Lonchura striata: one gene and its partner. The protein of the gene in region 1 interacts with the protein of each later gene in a biochemical or structural test. Links are inferred from orthologs where the notes say so. Each region holds a gene or a part of one and is shown in the gene's direction. Other genes may lie near its edges.

Region 1 (10,366 bases):
TTAAAGAACATCTAGTTCCAACTTCCATGCCATGGGAAGAGATACTTTCCACTGGACCATGTTGCTCAAAGCCCCATGCAACCTTGAACGCTTCCAGGGATGAGACATCCACAGCTTCTTCAGGCAGTCTGCTCCAGTGCATCACCACCTTCACACTGAATAATTTCTACCTTATCTTTCATCTAAATCTGCCCTCTTCCAAAGTAAAGCCATTACTATGTGCCTTTGTAGAAAGTCCCTCTCCAGCTTTCTTGGAGGCTAAATTTCTTGCAGAATCCTAATTTCTGTCCCTTCACTGGGGCCCTTTGTTGCAGAGCTAAAAAGAGGAAATGCAGAGTAGATCAGACAAGGGAGGAGAAGGGAGATTACGCACCTCCATAATTGCCTGATTTTAAATAATGTATTTTAGTCCAGGCTGTGTGCCAAAGCTCACCATATTCACTTCTGAATATCTGAGTCTCAGCCAAATCTATGGTTTCAGAGGTTTCTGCTAGCTTAAGTGACCCAAGAATTCGAGAGGCAGCAGGAGAACCAGCTAAGTCCTCCTGCTAGGGGAAAGATAAAGATCAAAGCAGAGCTTCAGTAACTTTTTTAGTTGCTGAAGAATCACAGGGCAGAGAAAAATCATGTGTGCACTACTAGACATTGAAAAACCCATTGTAAGAAAAGTTCCATGGAAAATGAGTTTTCATCTGCTCTGCTATGAAAGTGTTACCTTGCTTCAGTCTGTGACACAAGGTGATGGAAACGTTGCCATGTACTTTGCTCTTCATTATATGAACTTCTTTTCAGCCTTGGGAACAATCTAGAAACTGCAGTTTTCTGCACAGCAATCTTGCCTGACATTTCTAGGAATGCTGGCCTCATTTCTTCCAGAGCAAAATACAATCTTACGGTGCCAGCCTGATGTCAGCTGTTGATATCTGGAGTTAACAGCATGGAAAGTGCACTCCGGAGCTCTCCTTCACTGCCTGAAGCCTTTAATTCCACTAGGGGCCTCTTCCCTGACTTCTGCACATCCCATCAGCCATTGGCCTGTGCTACACCTGCTGGCATCTGCTCCCACTGTTTACAGAGCAAAGTCCATTCCAGTCCTCTTACCCCAATCCTCCCATCTTTAGCAGGTCCCCTCCCCTCAGAATGAACAGACTCTGTGTAATCTGCCAGGCCTGCAGCTGCTGTGTAGCAAGCAGTTGGGAATAAATCTGTCCCAGTGCATGTTATTGAGAAGCTTTTTCTAATGTGAAAGTTCCTGATCCACTGGAACTGAACATCTGTGGAGCAGGAGGCTGGATAAGATGACCTCCAGAGATCCCTCTTTGGATCTCTGTGCTTCTACCAGTCTGAAAACTTCAAGAAACACTGACCCATCAAAACAGAATTTCAGATATGACAGCAGATATAACAGGAGTTATTTTGTATGGTATTTCCAAGTTGACAAAACTCTTGCACAGAAAATATATGAGCAAGAGACTTGTTCTGCAGGTTGGGTGTTGGTGTATTTATAGCTGCACCTTCATAAGGAAGCTGTTGCTTTACCTGTAGACCTGAAAATAGCACTATCTACACATGGAGGAGCTTTGCAACGTAGGCAGCCAAATTTCTTAGGCCAAGACATACAGTGTCGTCTTAAAGTTATATTTTGTAAAGAAAGATTTTTTCATGACTTGGCAAACATGAATTCAAAATATCATTTCAGTATTGGATGCTCACATCCAAGACTGGGGCAATTGAGAGAACACTTCAGACAAATCTTCTGTTTTGAAGTACTTAAAAAACACAGGTTGTAAGAATGAGTAGCTCTGCAATCAGAAAGCAATTCTATTTGAAGTCAACTTCAGATAATCAAAGGGCTAACATGCTGTAACCCCCCGTAATTATCTTCCAAAACCAATTGGCCAAAGCAGGCATTCAACGCTTGCCACTTCCTGGTAATGCAAAAGTCAACCAGTAAGATGCAGCCTCACATCCTTGAGCTGGAACTTCCTCCATATTCCAAACTCCTGTCAGAATAACATCATGGGTTGAGCACTTGGCTTTGTGTCCTCTCACCTATGTTTAGTTGCCATTTTAGGCAGCAGTGTAAACTCTTTGTGTGAACAAGAGCTGACATTTGCACTACTCAAGTTTATTCTGGCTCCGAATACAGTTCCAGTGGAATCTGTTTTAATTTTTAAAAAAATTTTGGTCATGCTGAGTGTTTGCATTGGCAAAGCCACAAGCAATGGCTAAAACCGGGGTTCAGACACAATGTAAATAAAGCTACAGAAAAGGATTGCTTGGAAATGGCCAGCCGCAGAATGCTGAGGCCTAACAGATGTGCACCCCCTTAGGGCTTTCCCAACTCCTTTCCTGTATCTATCCAGTTTCCATAACCCATTAACTTTTAAAGGCTGTGTGTTAATGGTGAAAGAGAGAGAGCAATGGAAATCTCTTCCTTATGCCCATCCCCTTGAAGAATTCCAATGAACAAATCATAGCATTTGGAAATGTAAATGCTTTGGAGAGCTACATCTTGAACAGAAAAGCAAACACAATTATCTGGAATTTCCCAAAACCTACCAAAAATTCTTGACAGTATTCAGAAGGGCTCCACAGGAATTCACGTGACCCATCTTCCTGCTGTTCAATGGAAAAAAGAAATGATGGCCAAAGGGAAATATTTTTCTTTTTTGCATGGGAAAAAAAAATCAAATGGAGAAGCAAGGCTTTTCAGGTGCTTATCAAAACATGCAATTGATTCTGATAAAATAACTGAGGTAAACACAGCTCACAAGAATCACTGTGATAAACACCACAAATACTTTCAGGGAAAGCATAAAGACTGATGCTGGGAAGAAAAAAGGCAGGAAAAAACCTAACAAACTTAGGTACAGTCAAACACAGAACTAAATAATAAATAAATGCTAAGCTCTGTTCTAACAGGAAAAAATGTAAAAACATAAACATGGATCTACTAGTTTTTAGAAGCACAGCTACTGCACTGTCTCACTACCAAACAGAAGGAGTCCTATTCCACGCCTCATAGATTTCCAGAAACCTGTTAGTATTTCCCTCCCAGGATAAGCTAAATTACTTATTTGTATTCTTGGAGGCATTTGAGTATCACTGCCACTTGAGAACAGAACATATGGAGAAACTTCATCTAAGAAATCTGGAATGCATCAATTGAGTATTTCTTCTCTTTATGACATTTCCTCATGTTAATGATAGTTGGGGAAAAAAAGCTTCATAAACTCCCCAAATCTCTGGGCAGCAAGCAGCTGCATCAGCCTATTCTTGGATTAGCTCCTTTCAGCTGAACTGGAAAAAGAGGCTAGGAAGAAAAGGGAGTGGAAGATGGGAAGTTACAAAGTTCCTTAAGGTCTGAAAGTGGGGAACAAACTGAGATTTTTAGTGTTTACGATTATACAGACTCAGAAATCAGTTCTAACTCACTGAACTAGGTTCTAAAAGTTTTTTGGCACTGCTATCATGTGATCACCATCATTTCTCACATGCTAAAAAATTCTGAGTCAGTTTTCAAAATTTCTGATTTCCCGAAAACAAGAAGAGCAGGCTGCAAAAGCAGTAAATTCCAGTTAAAAAAAAAAAAAAATCACCAAAATCAAAGCTTGGTACAATCCCTGCTAAGGTGTTTAGTTTCTATAGAAACAAATGGCTGTTTTATTGACTTTGCTACTCAACCTTCGGTACATTGACATGTTAATTTGTTAAAAACAGCTCCATTGGCAAGGTGTGGAACAATTCAATTGAATCCTGTCCAGAGGGAAGGCATGCCAGGCCAGAGGCACCGAGTTTCACAGCGTGGTACCTTTTTATTCTTCTATACCACCAACCTAATGGTTAGCCTAAAGAAGACTGAAAAGGGACCGCATCAAAGATATAAATATCTTAAAGGAATGTGTCAGGAAGATGTTGCCAGATGCCTTTTGCTGGTGCCTAGCGACAGGACGAGGACTAAAGGCCCTAAACTGAAATACAAGTTCCACCTCACCGTAAGGTAGAGCGGCTTTTATGCAGAGTGTCAGAGCACGGAAGAGGCTGCCCAGGGATGTCGCTCCCCCTCTGGAGGCATCCCAAACCCACCTGGACACGTTCCTGTGCCACCTGCTCCGGATGACCCTGCCCTGCCAGAGGGGCAGATCTGCACGATCTCCAGAGGTCCCTTCCAAACCTAATGATTCTGTGAACCTCCCTGAAAAGTGGTGAAAATTCCCGGCTTCTGAAGGGAAGACTTGACTAGAAATGCAACAAGAAACGCAACCGGAAAGGAGAGAGTCAGCACGGGCCGCCGAGAGCGGGTGCCGACGGGCGCTGGGCCTGAAGCACCTGCGGGCACTGGGGGAAATCCCTGCGCAGCCCCGGGGAGCGGCGCCCGGGGAGCGGCCCCGGGGAGCGGCCCCGGGAGCGGCGCCGGGAGCAGCCCCGGGGAGCGGAGCCCGGGAGCAGCCCCGGGAGCAGCCCCGGGGAGCGGAGCCCGGGAGCAGCCCCGGGAGCAGCCCCGGGAGCAGCGCCGGGGAGCGGCGCCGGGGAGCGGCGCCGGGGAGCAGCCCCGGGGAGCAGCGCCCGGGAGCAGCGCCCGGGAGCAGCGCCCGGGAGCAGCGCCCGGGAGCAGCCCCGGGAGCGGCGCCCTCCCGCCCCTCCGCGCTCCGGCCGGCGGCGCCGGCTCCGCTCCCGCCCCTCAGGGGCACCGCGCGCGCCGCCCGCCGGGAGCCGCCGGGGCTGGGGGAGGGGGGTGGCGGGGGGGGGAAGAGAGCCAGGGGCAGGCACGTGGTGCTTTACGTCCCTCTTGCGCAATGACGTCACCGCGGCCCGCCGCGAGGGCGGCGCGCCGGGCCAATCGGCGGCGCGCTTAGTGGCAGGGGAGGGAGCCGCGCGCGCCAGTCAGCACGAGGCTTGCACGCGCGCCGCCGCGCGCGCCGGTCGCGCCCCGCCCCTTCCCTGTCGCGGCGCACGGAGGGCGGGGGAGGGGCAGGGAGAAGGGCCCGCTGGAAGCCAAGATGGCGGCGCGTGCGTGAGCGCGGCGCGGGCCCAGCTCCGAGCGGCGCCGTTGCGGCCGTTCCGCCCCGCCCCGCGCCCGCAGCGCCGCGGCCGCCGAGAGCCCCAGACTCCGCCGGGCGGCCCCGAACCACCCCGGGGGAGGGACGGAGGCCGAGAGCCCCCTCCCCCGCCGCCCCCATTGTGTGCCCGGCCCCCGCCCGCCCGCCTCCCGCCGCCGCCGGGGGGGCACCGGCGCGGAACATGACCTCGATCCACTTCGTGGTGCACCCGCTGCCGGGCACCGAGGACCAGCTCAACGACCGGTGAGGGGGGGCGGAGGGGAGGGGCCCCCCGGGGACGAGGGGAGGGGCTCCGGGGCAGCGGGGCCGGCCCGACCCCCCCCGCCGGGCCGCGGTTCCGCCGGGTCCCGGCGCGCCCCGCTCCGAGCGGCCGCTCCCGGCAGCCGCCGCCGCCGCGGTTCGCCCCGCGCGGCGCCGGGGCCGCGACTTTCGCCGCGGGCCCGGCGGGGGCTCCGGCCGGCCACGGGAATCTCGGCATCCGGCCGAGGAACGGGGCTGCCGGCGCTCCCTGGCCGAGGAAGCGGGTTCCCGGGGATCCCCGGCCGAGGAGCGAGAACGCGTCCATATTAACCAGGGATGGAGCGAGGCAGACAATGCGGATGGGGGATCGCGGCGTGTGAGAGAATGACGGGAGCGGGGATAAAGGCGGCAGCGCTGTCACACGCAGCGCCGGTGTGCGCTGCCTTCCCCTGCTCACGCACCGGGTGTTCGATACAAAAGGAAGCCCGATCTCCAAATCACTGATGTTGTGCGGCTTGGCGGAGATGGGGATGACAGCTGCCAGCCTGGAAACCACGCAGCTAACTTTATGTAGGATTGGGGGAGAGAAATTGCAGGCTGGGGAGAAACTGGAGTGCTTTGAGAGAAAATGAATCCATGAAACAAATTTTCCTCGCTGCTTGACGTTTATTTGACAGCTCTGTGTGGCTGTCAAATATTTCTTCTATAGCAATTGTTAATGGTATGTGTAATAGCTTGCAAATTTTACTTCTGCTCTTTTATAGAGGAATTCTTAAAAACTTCATGTTTAATTTCTCACAAATTTATGTGTGAATAAATCGTGATCTTTAATCATCGCTAGATAGAAACCTAAAGTGTTTTTACACTAAATACGAATGTTATTTAATGATTCTAAACAATATTTAAGTATTTTTAAGTCTTAAAAAGCATAAGCTCTTGCTTATACTCTCCTGGCTTTGATAGTACCAGTAGGTCAGGGTCCAGGTCATTCCACAGTTCTTTGTAGTTAGGCCACTTCTCCAAGAACAGTCTTTGCTGAGATGCCTTTTGGAGCAGGTGAGGTTTGAGCGTGTATAATAAGGAAAATAGGTAGTTTTGAAGGCAGAATTTCTGCCTAACTACATAGCCAATATGTTTATACAGGGAAAAGAAAAGATAAAACAGATCCAAAACCTGAAGTGTGTTACTGTGGACTGTATTTTTTTCCATAGCCTGATAATGCATTTTACAGAATCCTGCTTCCTAGGAGGCCTAGCCATTCCTACAGAATTGATTTGCTTTCTCCATAGGTACTGCATTCAAATTTGGCATAGACCATCTTCCTTTAGAGTGACAAACTGAGAGATGATGCTGTTCTGTGACTTATTGCTTGCACTCTTTTGGTTTGGAGTAAGATCTAGGCCTTCGAGCTTGAAAAGACCCCAGTGGGTTTTCTTTTTTTTTTTCTTTTTATATTGGTTGGCCCTTAGAAAACATTTAGCATGTAATTATCACACTTTGCTCCAAGTGAGAGAGCTCATCTGTTTTTTCTTTAATGTTACCTCTTCTGTTGACACATTGATATAAAATGTGAGTCCCTTTCAGTCTTCATAATGCTTTCTCGGTTTTTAAATTTTTTTTTTCTTCTTAACACAGCAGCAGCTTCTACACCTACTTTTTGATACATGAACCTTCCAAATATGTGGTAATTAATATATGGAGAAAGCTGCAGCAGTGCTGTTAAGTAGTGACTGTTCTGAAAAATCAAGTGACTCCTTGATCTGAGCTGCAAGTCAGAAATTTTGGCTTCATAAATGTAATTTTACTAAAAGGGCAGTAGCTATGTATCAGAACTTGTAATGCAGTGAAATCAGAATGATTCATAAATAGAGTTGAGGCACACACATATGTGCTGGAAATGCCAGTTCAATTTTATCAGTAGCATTGCTGCATATTTCTATTCTGTCAATGTTGATAAAGATCTAGATGGCTTAATAAATTCTCATACACATACTCATAGAAGTTAGGATCTTGGAACGTCTCGTGTCTCTGTGATGTTTCTTTTCTCTCTCACTTTATAAGCTTTTTTGAGTCTGGGTCAGTGGTCAGTCAAGTTTTTTTTCTGTCTGTATTCTGAATGATAGTTGTTTCTCAAAATTAGATTTTGGGATCATACTTCTGTATTGTATGCTTTCAATAATGGATTTGTGTTTTTCATCTAAGGAGTAATCACTTAAAACCCAATGAATTTATTGTCGCAATCCCTGTGTGTTCAGAGTACAGGACACTGTTGAATTTTGTAACCAAGTATTTGATACATTATGCTTAATAACCTAGATAATAGTCTAGATGTGTAAAGGCAGTGGTTTTTGGAAACCATCTTTCTCCTGAAGTATTGCTGTGCTCTTAAGTAGTTGAAAAAATGTGAGGAAGTAGTTTTTTCCAGTTTGGTTTGGTGCGTTTTCTGTCATTTTGTTCTACAGTTTTTGTTAGGTTTTCTGTGTAATTTGTTGTCACACTTATTCATGCAGCAGCTGTGAGAATGGCAAAACACTTCAAAGAAAAGAGGAGATAGTAACTGTAGAACCACAAATAATCGGAGGACTCCTGAGCATATCTGCTGATCATCTGAAAATTCTTCTTAGCTAGTGTTTTTGAAAATGTAGGTTAATATTGCACCTTGATGGTAGTTATTAGTCCTCTCTAAAATAAGCTGAAACAGTGTTGACTTCTTCACTCAGAGGTCTGGAGCTGATGACACTGAAGAGAGTTCACAGAGGACAAGGTCATACTTAATTTTGTAGTTGTATTAGGATTCATCTTTTGAAATGGATACTAGCCTAAGCTTTTGTTTAGGATGAACTGAGGTAATTAAGGTTTTTCTGGCAGGTTTATTAAGGAAGACAGGTAACTTGGAATTTTTTCCCCAAGCAATTTGTTGTCTGCAAACTGAATATGAGGAGTTTAATGGAAGAAAAATTCTGTATGGCCTGCAGTTTGAGAAACAACTCTATAGAGTATTTGGGATGTAAATAATTAATGGCTTTAATATTTGAAAAAGAGATATCCAGCCTCTGTTGCATTGGGTGTTAGGTATATTTTGTAGCTTATCCGCCTCTTTCAGGGTGGGAGACTTTGTGCTTTGTGAAGGAAGTTTGACACAGTTTCATAGATAAATTAATCTTAGTAAATACTTAGTATATTTCTTAATTTTTTATTGGGTTAGGAAGTGGGTGTAACCATGACAAATAGCCTTTTCTTGACTGTTATGAAACCTCACAGGAGCAGTTTAACTTGCTGCTCTGGGAAGGAGAAGGGGACTCTTTCACCTTACACAAATGACTTTCCATACATGAACTGACCTTCAGAGACAGGATTAATCTCAAACCTTTGACTTTGTTTTTACCTTATACTAAGAAAATTCTTGTCAGTTAGACCATTTAAGTCCTAGCATAGAGTAAGATGTAATTTTTGAAGTGGTCATTGATACAGTGTTAGTGTGGTCTTTTCTTTCTTCCTGGAGATGAGATGTAATGAATTTGGTTAAATAGAGTGTGGATATTTTGAATATGAGGGTTTAGAAGTGTCATGTAGTAAGTTTTCTGGCAGTGACATCTTTGAAATCAGTAGCACACCTGAGAAAAGTTAATTTGAAGCTTCAGTGAGTCTGTATGTAGTCAGCTTTGGGGGAAGAAAGGATGATCTCGTTTTTTACATGACTTTGTTTTCTCTTAGTAATACATTCAGTGCCTGTCTCTGTTATTTGAATGCTACTTACTTTATGCCGTGCCTGAACTGAAAATTTAAGTTGTGTACTTTGCATTGCCTGCATTGTTAGCACTCTCTGAATTTGTGTGGAAAAAATTGCTAGCAAGAACATACCTTTTTAATCTGCACATCAATTTAAGGTGCTGTGCAAGTGATCTGTGGATATGTGGCTGCTGCTCTGGCAAACGCCACCCCCCCTTGCACTTACTGATGAGCAAATCTGTTAAAAATCTCAAGCAGATGTTGCTGGAAGGAGCTGCTGTAGGGTGTGGTGTGGCTGTGCAGGGAGCCAGCAGCGATGTGGAGCTGATGTCTTGGCCCCACATGTGTGCAGCAGCCATGCACGGGGAGGGAGAGAGAGCTCCTGATAATGCAAGCGTTCATGTTAAAGTGATATTGCGTGACCTGAACCTACTCTGCTGCGTCCAGAGGCATGCTGAGAGAGTACCTGTCCTCTTGTGTAGAGGAATGCAGCCGAGCACGAACTTCTGTGCTGATACTTGTGTGTGTCTGCCCCAAGTTGGGGAAAAGAAGGGATTGATGGATGCATTCTTAGAGAATCTGCAAGTTTTGTGCAGATAATACAGTACTTCTTTTAGCTTAAGTGATTTATTTTGGTGTGCTTTAAACGATTCCTAATCTACTTAGCAAAAGTGCAGGTAGCCCTCCTCAAACAGGAATAGGTGGTTTAATTACTGGGAAGCCATAACTGATGTATTATTTGAATTACCTGAGTTACAGCTGGTTGATAAACTTTAGTAACAGGCAAAATGTTGAACTTGGTTTTAGGATTAATTTCTTGAAAGCATAGCCAAATTTAGATTGTGCTCTTTTGGAAGAGAGGAATGGAACAGTATGACTGTCATGACATTATTATTATCATCAGACTCTTAGATGGAAACACTTTTTAAAATACAAAATGGTTTGGCTGCCTCAAAAGATTTGCACCACCACTATGATAATATAGACTGTTACAAGATTCATATGTGCATCAGTGCATTAAGATTTGATCTTCATATTGTTACTTGAGAGCAATAATTGGGGGTTAGGCATCAGAATGTACAGTGTTATTTCATGTCTGGTTGAACGTGGAAGGTTACTTTTACATAGGCCAGTATTCTAGGCCTTTTTGAACTTTGCTCTGCCGGGGTTGTCTTCTGATTACAATTGCGTGCTACACCACAGATGCTGCTTTTTAGAGAGTACATATGTAATTGTCTGTGAATGTTCTTGCTGAAACTTTCCTGAGATGTTGTAAGTCAAAGTAATTGCTCTCTTCTGAAGGTGGAGATTTGTTTTCCCCACCTCTTAGGTTG
Region 2 (10,816 bases), on another chromosome or scaffold:
AGTGGGTCAGACTGCATGTAAAAAGGGACTGAAGTAAAAAGAAAAAGGAGAGCAAAGGTATATGGGAGAATTTAAAGAAAAGAGAAAAAGTCCATTGCACAGGTAGAGCTGGGTAACCCTGAAAGGACAACTGCCAGTACAGTGCTGCCAGCAGACAAAGCACCACAGAGAAACAATGAACAGCATGCAAGAGAAAGGAGCCAGGGGAGCCAGGATTGTCCCATCCTAGAGAAAAAAAACAAATTTAGAATGTAAAAAGGTGCTTCCATGTCATTTCTTTAGGCCTGAGGAGGTGAAGTCTCTGCAAAAGGGCACAGTTAGCAGAGCACCAGTCATCCACAGGAAGCAGACACTCTTGAACAAGAGGCACTTGAACTCATGTACAAGGATTTGTCTGTTCCCTACCCAAGTAGGAAGCAGGAAGTCCTTGACAGCTGCAAACACACACCTCTGTGGTAAAGGGATTTCACTCCAGAAAGGGTAACCATTTTTATTTGCAAACTGGATTTGGAGCCATCTGGGCTTTGTGGCACTGAGCAGAGCAGGTGCTGAAAGGCAAAGGGAAACACTAATCTTTTGCTGACTGGTTTTCACTCTGGGTAGTACAGTTTGTCCCCTTCTCTCCTGGCTGTGGTTCTGCTGTTCATCCAGCAAAAAAACCCTGCAGTAACCATGCAAAAATCATAATTCTGTTGTGGCTTGGGTAAAATCAATCAAAGACTTGGTGGGCCCAAACTCTCGAAATGACTGAGACCTAAAGCAGATGAGAAGAGCTCCTAAGTGAACAGAATTACACATACCTGGCCACTGGTCAGGTACCAGTGGCTACAGAGCCCATTACTCACATAGTCACACTGAAACTTGACAGGGGTTTTTTTTTGGTTTTTTTTATGACAATGTTCCTTTAGGAAGAGTCCCCAGATTAGATTCACACCTCAAGAAATAGTTCTAGAGGGATGACGGCTTATCAAAATTGAAATTACATGTCTCAATCCCATCTCCAGAGCTGAACCTGTAAAAGTGAGTTTAAAAATAAAGTAATAATAATAACAATAATAACTATTTCATCTGCCAAAGAAGAACAACAAACAAGAAACCAGTGTGCCCATGGTGTAATGTCAGCCTTGGCATGCACTGTGTCACAATCAGGACTTTCCCTAAAATATAACTCAGGATTGAGCACTTGAGCTGTTACTAAATGAAGCATCAAAGGTTGGTGACTTTGTTTAGAGACTTTAAAATGCACCAGTGCATCTTCCTGGCTGCTGAAATTTGCTTCCATGTATTTTGAGAAATGTCTGTTGTCAAGCTGAAAATGTTGGGCAGGTTAATGGAAGTACAGTCTAATCGTGATAAATCTGTGTATTTTTTCCCACTCCTCCACCATCAGAACAAGCCACTTCATTTTGAACATGTGCAAAAAAAATGACATTTTGTAGGGATCCACAAACAGCATAGCTTACAATCTGCCCAATCCTGTGTGGGTTAGGGCTGGAACGGAGGTGAGCAGGAGGTGAAGCACTGTGTCCCCAGTTTGCTGCTACCTGTTGTGGCTGGTGGCAGGGGCTCGGTCTCACGGTTCACGCAGCACACGTGGAGAAGAGTGCACAGTACATGTGAAGAAGGGTGCACAGCACATGTGGAGAAGAGTGCACAGCACACGTGGAGTGCACAGCACATGTGGAGAAGAGTGTACAGCACATGTGGAGAAGGGTGCACAGCACATGTGGAGAAGAGTGCACAGCACATGTGGAGAAGAGTGCACAGCACATGTGAAGAAGGGTGCACAGCACATGTGGAGAAGGGTGCACAGCACATGTGAAGAAGAGTGCACAGCACATGTGGAGAAGAGTGCACAGCACATGTGAAGAAGGGTGCACAGCACATGTGGAGAAGAGTGCACAGCACATGTGGAGAAGAGTGCACAGCACATGCAGCAGGCCCCCAGCCCGCTGCAGTGGGTCAGTGCCCAGGGCCCCCAGCCCTCCTGCAGTGGGTCAGTGCCCAGGGCCCCCAGCCCACTGCAGTGGGTCAGTGCCCAGGGCCCCCAGCCCACTGCAGTGGGTCAATGCCCAGGGCCCCCAGCCCTCCTGCAGTGGGTCAGTGCCCAGGGCCCCCAGCCCACTGCAGTGGGTCAATGCCCAGGGCCCCCAGCCCACTGCAGTGGGTCAATGCCCAGGGCCCTCAGCCCACTGCAGTGGGTCAGTGCCCAGGGCCCCCAGCCCTCCTGCAGTGGGTCAGTGCCCAGGGCCCCCAGCCCACTGCAGTGGGTCAGTGCCCAGGGCCCCCAGCCCTCCTGCAGTGGGTCAATGCCCAGGGCCCCCAGCCCACTGCAGTGGGTCAATGCCCAGGGCCCCCAGCCCACTGCAGTGGGTCAGTGCCCAGGGCTCCCAGCCCTCCTGCAGTGGGTCAGTGCCCAGGGCCCCCAGCCCGCTGCAGTGGGTCAATGCCCAGGGCCCCCTGCCCACTGCAGTGGGTCAGTGCCTCAGAGCCGCCTGCAGGAGCGGGGCTGTGGGGCGGAAATATCGCCCGGCGCTGCGCAGGGTCTGGAACAAGCACTTGGCTCGCTCACAGACTCTTTTGCAACTGCAGACAATTTGCACGGTTCACGTTTTCTTTTGGAAGTTGAGAGAATGATCCCTGCCCTGCTCTCTCTGAGATTGCAAGGGCTGCCCTTGGGTCTGGACTCTGTGGCATCCAGTCCAGCAGCTGTCAGAGGGTGCTCGGTGTCATCTGAGCAAAACACCACAGAAATAGCAATCCAGAGGCAGTGCTCTTCCGTTAGTAGAGCAGCTCAGAGAATCTTTAAAAAACCTACAATTTTATAGCAAAATACCCAAGTGACAAACTCCTTGGAGGTGACAATATGTACTAGAATTAGCAATGGGAGGGAAGTAGAATTTCTGAGTATTATTATATGCCATTAACAACTTTCAGATCTCACTGTGAGAGCTTTGTTGCACTTTGCTTTGTAGTGATGAGTTAAGCTTCCTAATGACACTTTTTCTGAGCATTTAAAACCTTTACATTTTTTGAGTCCTAGTAAATATGTGAAACCTGAAGTGCTCAAAAACTTGTTTTGAGCAACCTGAATAGTGTCCATCAAAGCAAACATCCTAAACCCCCTCCTTTCAAGGCACTTGTTGAACGCTGTCATCTTGAAATGTCAGATTCACACACATTTAAATGATTTGACAGCTTCCAAGAAGGCACCTGATAAGCATCACATTCAAGTGTCAAGAAGCACAGAGAAAAAGTGCCAAAAAAAGTTCAATCAGAAGAAATCGTATCAGCTATTAGATGAGCATTATAATGCAGTTATTACTAAAAAAGGCTTCTCATTTAAATGGAAAATAAACTTTACATTAAAGTAAACTCTTTTTTTAAAGGCTTTACATTTCCCCATACTACCTCTCACGTTTGCCATTTGTGAAATCTTCCAGAAACTGAATCCAGACAGCAGCACCCACTGGTACTGGGTGACACCTCAAGACCACTGTAACTGAGCCATTGGAAGTGCTACATCTGGGTTTTTATGTGGGAAACAGTGGGTGTTATGAGAATTCACTATCTTCACATAAAACCTTTAATGCCTTCTGTTGGCTTTCGAAAAGCTGAATCGCTAAATGAGAAGATTCTTGAAAAAATATCCTGGCCTTGATTTGCATATGCTCCAGTTATTTCATTGCACCAAATACTATGTGTGTTTTATATAGGGGCTTGAGGCTTACTGTGTGTTTGTGATATGCTTTGAGATCCTCTGATGGGAGGTGTTACCTAAATACAAGTAATTTGATGCTGAAGTGTCTAGAATTCCCAGTGGACATCTGTACTCGAGCCCTGCTGCCATCACAAATGAAAAACATTTGGAATCCTTAATGTGATTTTTAATGGACATATGTTCATAACACAGTGCCACCAATTTGGCATGTTTAGTGTCTTCTCAAGAGAAGCCCACAGTTTGTATAGCAAGATTGTGGGAGGTTAGGATTGCAGTGTTAGAAAATTTGCACAACACCTGCCTGACTGTAATTTAATTGGCAGAAATTAATGCTCTGGGTTTGGGAATTTTTTCCTTCTCTCAAAACCTAGAGACACTAGGACTAATTCTGCTGTATTACACTGTTGTATGTAAGCTTTTCTTCTGATTTTATTTGTGCTGCAATATGATAATTTCCTGCTCTACTGTCTTCCTGACAACTGGGCATTGCTGGCTTACTCTCAGTTATTTATATGTACACTGACTTACCTAGCCAGCAAAAAGCATTCCATTTTTTTTTACTTCTCTAAAAAAGAGCTCTGCCTAGTATTATTAAAGATAATGCTCCATTATATTTTTAATGAAGGTACTTTATGACATGTTTTAAAAGGAAAATATTTCTCATCAGCTCCACCAGTGACACAGTATGTGGACTCTGAAGACGAACACCAGCTTTGCCATTATTAAATTGGCTTTGGATTTTATCTTTGCTTATATCACAGCCCTATCTGAAGCAGGCTTTAACAGCTCTAATCCCACCAGATTTTTGTTTTCCTTTTCAGGAATGTTTGGTCTTGCCATGCAGCAAGGACAGCCCCTCTTACTTCACTATTTTCTTCCCTTATTTACAAAACATAATAAAAGGCTTTGCAGGGAAGATAGAGGGTACAGTCCCAGGGGATGTCCCTGCAGTAGGAGAGTCAGATCTGCAGTATTTTAGACTTGCAGGTGGGAAGGTGAGCTACAATCCTGATCCCTGCTGCTCTGCCAGCCTGGCCTTTTGTGGGTTGTAAGTCACTGCTGGCTGCCCCATCAAGAACCTTGCTGGGAACATCCAACTGCCTCACAAACCTGAGCAACAGCAGCGTTGTGAACACCCTTTATACAAGATAAGTCAATTTTGTTGCTTTTCAGAGCTTCCTTAAACTTAGCTGGGAATCCCAGATTTCCCTCTTCTGCAAACTACCAATGACAAGCATGGTAAAAACCCCATCAATACAAAAAAGTGACAAGTTGGCACAAAAGCATCACCTTATCCAGGCTCCAGATGCTTTGCTAAGCCTGGGTCTAAATAGAAGGAGAGGAAATGGCAGCAGGGTTATTTCTACAGTTCTGTTTGTCTGAAATACTTCAGTCTTCACACACCCAGACTGCATGGACAAACAATTGTCTAAAATGGAATAGGGGAAGCTAAAGACAGGCCTGCAGAAACAGAGACAAGAGCTCAAAGTGTCTGAGATCACACTCAAGTGTCTGATATCACACTGAGAATTCAGAATTATGAGTAGTAGTGGCTGTTGATATCAGATACTGCCACGACTGACACAGATACAGACTCAGCTCTGTGTATGTGCACCTTCACCCACAGAACAACAGTGTGCAGCCCCACTCCACAGCAGGTCTGTGTTTTTGCTCCGAGTACTAATTTAGGGATGGGTTTATATTTTATGATACTTCCCCCCATAAAACTCCAGGTAAAATAAAGCACAATATTTGAAAGAGGAGGTTAATTATTGCTGTTCTGCCTCTTCTGCAGTTGTAGCAATAGGAAATAACTGTTCCGTTTGCAAGAGCCTAAAACAAGCCATAAAGAAAAACTTCCTTGCCTGCACTGAAGGAACCCCAACACTTAGATTTATGTTGCTAGGGATTTTTTTAGAACTGCATAGACACAAATAAGAGCTGTGGGCCCTATGTAGTGGTTATTCAGGCCTGTCGGTGCTCACTGATGAACTTTATACCCAGATCAGGTAATGTTCCCAATGTGAGTAAACACTTCTTGGACGAGCCTCCACTTCACAGCCAGCTAGTGACCATCTGCCTACAAAATGTGCCAGCTGTACTTTGCCTCTGTGCATGACCTCCGTGTTCCTGGTTCCAGAAACTCTTTGTACTCAACCTTTCCCACACACACCAAGAAGTTATGACGTCTTTGATTTCAAAGCCAAAATGGATCAAAGTTTGGTTAAACTGCTAAATTTTGTAAGTGCTTCAAAACAGCAAATCCAGGGGCTAAGAACCTCCGCTTTCAACATTCATTAATCAAGCCTGTTAAATGATTACCCCGCCAGGGCTGCTTTGTTGACAACTCTGCATGATGACAATGTCAGTGGCACTGTCCCAAGACACATGCAGTGATGATGTAAAGGACAAGCCTCCTTCACCCCAACTGGTGGGATGGACACTACCATGAAGAATATTTAAGGGAGGAGGTCCATCCTTGGAACCAGCAATTGCAAGAGAGCTCCAAAGCAAGCGAAACGGGCTCAACTGAAAGCTACAGCAAAATTCTCTCTGGCATCCAGCTCCAGCTTCCATAGACAGTAAGTAGAATGGCCTCTATTTTTCCCATGTTAAATTAGTAGAATGGTCTCTATTTTTCCCATGTTAAATTAGTAGAATGGCCTCTATTTTTTCCACGTTGAAATTAGCAAATTCCCTACCTTGATTTTAAAGCAGTACATAATCAAGTCCATTGCAAATTCTTCGAGTTATATGCTGTTAGGCTTTGTGATGCTGGTTAGAACGTACAGTAAGCTAACACACCTAATTATTTGATTTCGTACAGTAAGCTAACACACCTAATCTATTTGATTTTTGATTGTGATCAGTATTTTACAGCCATCAACGAGATCCACAACAGCTTCAATAATGCCCCCACAGTTGAAAACTGACATGAGCGTCATGCCCAAGGTTGTCCAGGGGGATTGGGAGAGTCTGCCTCCAGAAGCGAGGGATTTCATCGAGACCAGTGCCAAGCTGTGCCAGCCTGAGTGCATTCACATCTGTGATGGCTCAGAAGAAGAGAACAGAAAACTTCTGGACATCATGGTACAACAAGGCATGATCAAGAAGCTGAGAAAGTATGAGAACTGGTGAGTAGCCTAAACGAAGTCAAGTATCATCTCAGAATTGGAAAATTCATTTTCTATCCTGTTTACTTAAAAAACTTCTTATAACTCTCCAATATTTGCTTTCCATGAACATTTTGGAACTTTTGCTTACATAGTGAAATACTCAGGAAAAGCAAACTTTTTCCTCTAAAAATTAGCATAAAGCATATTATTCAGTTGGACTATCAACTGTACATTTTCTCTGTTGATTAGTTACATCAGGGAACTGGAATAATGTCATGAGACTTACGCAACTTATCATTAACAATGGCTAAATATTATTGAGCAAATCTTCTTTTGAAGAATTCTACTATTTTAGCCAATTAGTTTATTCATCACATCTTTTTTGTGGCATTCAAATAGGTCTGTGGGTGTTCAAATATTATTCAGTACAGGCATTATTCATATCGTGCCAATGAGCTTTGACTCTAATGTATTCTGCAAATACTTTTTTCAAATATTTCATAATTTCTCCCAACAAACTGAACATGAAAAGAGAATATTAACAACAAGTGCATACTCGAGAATTACTTGCCAACCACGAGATCTTCATGGGAGAAATCTGCAAAGACTTTTGAATAACTAAGTGCAGGAATTTGGCAATCTGTTTGCAGACTATTTGGGAGAGAAAAGGGCAAGATTCACCAGATAAATTATTCATTGTTAATTATATGCTTAGCTGTAGTGATGATGGTTATGACAGCACAACTAGAACATTTTTATACTCGTGGAAAATTTCGATGCAGAGAGGTGAAAATGTAAAACAATCCCCTCTATCGTAAATAGATGGCAAAAAATTCCTCTGAGGGGAAAAAGAATCCCCTTTAATGAACTCCTTCACTTTTAATGATCGTGCTTATACTCAGTATTTGCTTTGTGATGCCTCTAATTTAAGGGACTATGCCAATCCACTAAGCTGGGTTCTGATCCCTTTGGCACTTATACCAACACTTAAACTACTTTCCTTGGCATCCACTTAGCTTGAAGCATCATTTTGTGGTCCCCATACAAAACAACTTCACACTGATGAGAATGAAAATTAAACAAGATTAACTTTTCCCTGAAAGTTAACAACAGACAATAAGGCTGAGATAAGAAGCAAAGAAGTATTAAACATGTAACAAAAATTTCCTTGGCCATATAATTTTTTATGATTTCTGGAAAGTCTTAAAGCAATTTTTTGAGATAATATATCTGACTGATTTTTGAGATTATCTGTTATACTGCTTTTTCACTAATTTTTGTCTTACAAAGCATTGTTTTAGTAGCTTTTTGTGCTAAAGTGGACCCACAGAAGGGTAAAAAGGCTATATTGATAATAAAAGTCTAATTTCCTGATTTTTGGTGAAATGCAGCTGGTTGGCTCTCACTGATCCAAGAGATGTGGCAAGAATTGAGAGCAAAACTGTCATCATCACTCAAGAGCAGAGAGATACCATTCCAATTCCTAAAACTGGAGCAAGCCAACTGGGGCGCTGGATGTCTGAGGAAGATTTTGAGAAAGCCTTCAACACCAGGTTCCCAGGCTGCATGCAAGGTAGGCAAGAAGAAGATAATTGACACTGAACTTTCAGCAATGCTGAGACACTTACTGCTGCAAGTTACTGTAATCTTTAAGGGACAATTTGAGCTGAAGATTTAGCTTTACGCCCCCAATAGTCACTCCACAGGTTTCATGCAGATCTTTCCCATAGACCCAAATACCTGGGCAAGGAAAGTCCTCAGTTTCTTTCCAGCACTCTTGTTTTCCTAAAGTGACAAAGTACAAAAATTCGTGTGACTTGGTTCAGGAAGTCACACAGCAAGTGAGGAGCAGATAAGAAGTGAGATGAGGATGAAGGGCCTCCCATCCATAGCAATAATTCCAGGTTCAGGGATTTACACTAACAGGGAACTTGGCCTTCACCTCCCCTTACTCCTGGCTAGACAATCTGTCTGAACTGCTGCTTTCATCATTTAAGATAGAACTTCTTGCTACACAATTAGACAAACAGAAAGCTGCAGCTCTTTAAACATCATCTCACAAGACAAACAGCTTTTAAATAACTGAGAAACAGCCTCCATGTTTATAAAGGTTACTTCAAATGTTCCTTGTTTTGCTCTTAGTCACATCTTGCTACTCCCTGTTTTCCAGGACGTACGATGTATGTCATCCCCTTCAGCATGGGGCCTATTGGGTCACCTTTGTCCAAGATTGGGATCGAGCTGACAGATTCACCCTACGTAGTGGCCAGCATGAGGATCATGACACGGATAGGAACAGATGTTTTGAAAGCCCTGGGCAGTGGGGAGTTTGTAAAATGCCTTCACTCAGTTGGATGCCCTCTGCCGCTAAAAGGTAAGAGCCATTAAAAACCCCAGAAGCCATTAAAAACCCCAGGAAATTCCCAGGGCTGTGTTTTGGAGATGAGTGCATGTCCTCTGCATGTGGGACACCCTCACCACAGAAGACTAGGCTGATTCTGTAACAGCACTAGGTTCAAAACTCAGTTAAAAGAATCAAAGCTCAGTGAGAGTTTGATGGAAAGGAGATCATTATCCCTAGTACTTACCAGGGATTTCCTTGAAGCATATGCTCTGGGTTGCTGTCAGAAGCTCGATGCTGATGAAACAACAGCGTGATCAAGCATGGAAATTGCTGCATTCATGACTGCAACATTCTGTTCTGCAGAGCCATTAATCAACAACTGGCCGTGCAACCCGGAGCTGACGCTGATTGCTCATCTCCCGGATCGCAGGGAGATCATTTCCTTTGGCAGCGGCTACGGAGGAAACTCCTTGCTGGGGAAGAAATGCTTTGCTCTCCGGATTGCCAGCAGACTGGCCAAGGAGGAGGGCTGGCTCGCAGAGCACATGCTGGTAAAAATCTATGCTGTTAAATCTTGTGTGTTTGAACAGCCTTTAAAACCTCAAATTAGAGCCACATAAATCCGTCACCCGTCTGGCCATCAATGGAATTAGTCTCATATGGATAGTCCTGTAACTTTAGATAGGAATCTGCCACATGCCAGGCTCCTGAGGAACAGAAAACTGCTTGCAAGGCCAAGTACTAAACATTGAAAATAGGACCTGTCATGGCATAGAACAAGCAAGGTTTGGAAATTCTGAGGGTGACTTCTTATAGGCAGCTTTGTGTACTTGAGCAGAGCCTGAACATCATCACTGGGCCAAATTATAAAGGGGTCTATGCACTCAAAAACCTGCAAATACCAGATTTTCTAAGGGTGTTCTGCTGTGTAACCTTCCTGGCTTTAATTTCTGCTATCCTTTAAACATTCTACCACCATAAAATACTACTGAAACAAAGAATTTCAAAGGGCATGGGAGAACAGCCTTAGAAAAAAAATATCTGTGGTTGTTGAGAAGAGCAGGAGTATCCATGCACAAAGTGCTTTCATTCCACTCATATACAGCCAAAATAATATTTCCTGCTTTTCTTCTGTATTGAGAGAGAAACATAGCAAAATAAATCAGCAAAATAAAAATAAATGTTTATTATATGCAGACCTAACATTAAAAAAAAATAGAATAATTTCTTAGAGATATTCTAATGGCAAGATGAGTTGACTCTGATTTTAAAAATACAGCTTGAGTTATTTGTCAACAATATTATGCAGTACTTCTTCTGTAGGAACAAATGTGCATAATTAAATATTTTATCATTTCCACTTGCTGGGAGACAATCTCCTAAATGAAAAGTGCAAGAAAAAAAGACTGTGTTTAACAGTTGCATTAATTTTTCTATAGATCCTGGGAATTACCAACCCAGAAGGTAAAAAGAAGTACTTTGCTGCAGCATTCCCTAGTGCATGTGGAAAAACTAACTTGGCTATGATGAATCCAAGCCTGCCAGGATGGAAAGTTGAGTGTGTGGGTGACGATATTGCCTGGATGAAATTTGATGAACAAGGTATGGAAATTAAATTGGAATGTTTTGCAGGTT

The links. The genes of interacting proteins can lie anywhere in the genome.
Region 2: the proteins of UBR5 (region 1) and PCK1 form a complex in vitro, tested with the Homo sapiens proteins (2 studies listed by BioGRID, with this or other methods). The link is inferred for Lonchura striata from reciprocal best matches to the Homo sapiens genes UBR5 and PCK1.

The regions. Positions count from the first base shown.
Region 1 is NC_134603.1:20,947,562-20,957,927, forward strand, and holds the start of UBR5 (E3 ubiquitin-protein ligase UBR5), read left to right. Parts: upstream 1-5,203; 5' UTR 5,204-5,244; coding exon 5,245-5,306; intron 5,307-10,366. UniProt on the Homo sapiens protein: E3 ubiquitin-protein ligase involved in different protein quality control pathways in the cytoplasm and nucleus. Mainly acts as a ubiquitin chain elongator that extends pre-ubiquitinated substrates.
Region 2 is NC_134619.1:3,044,091-3,054,906, forward strand, and holds the start of PCK1 (phosphoenolpyruvate carboxykinase, cytosolic [GTP]), read left to right. Parts: upstream 1-6,197; 5' UTR 6,198-6,303; intron 6,304-6,591; 5' UTR 6,592-6,631; coding exon 6,632-6,855; intron 6,856-8,228; coding exon 8,229-8,410; intron 8,411-9,007; coding exon 9,008-9,211; intron 9,212-9,544; coding exon 9,545-9,732; intron 9,733-10,620; coding exon 10,621-10,783; intron 10,784-10,816. UniProt on the Homo sapiens protein: Cytosolic phosphoenolpyruvate carboxykinase that catalyzes the reversible decarboxylation and phosphorylation of oxaloacetate (OAA) and acts as the rate-limiting enzyme in gluconeogenesis.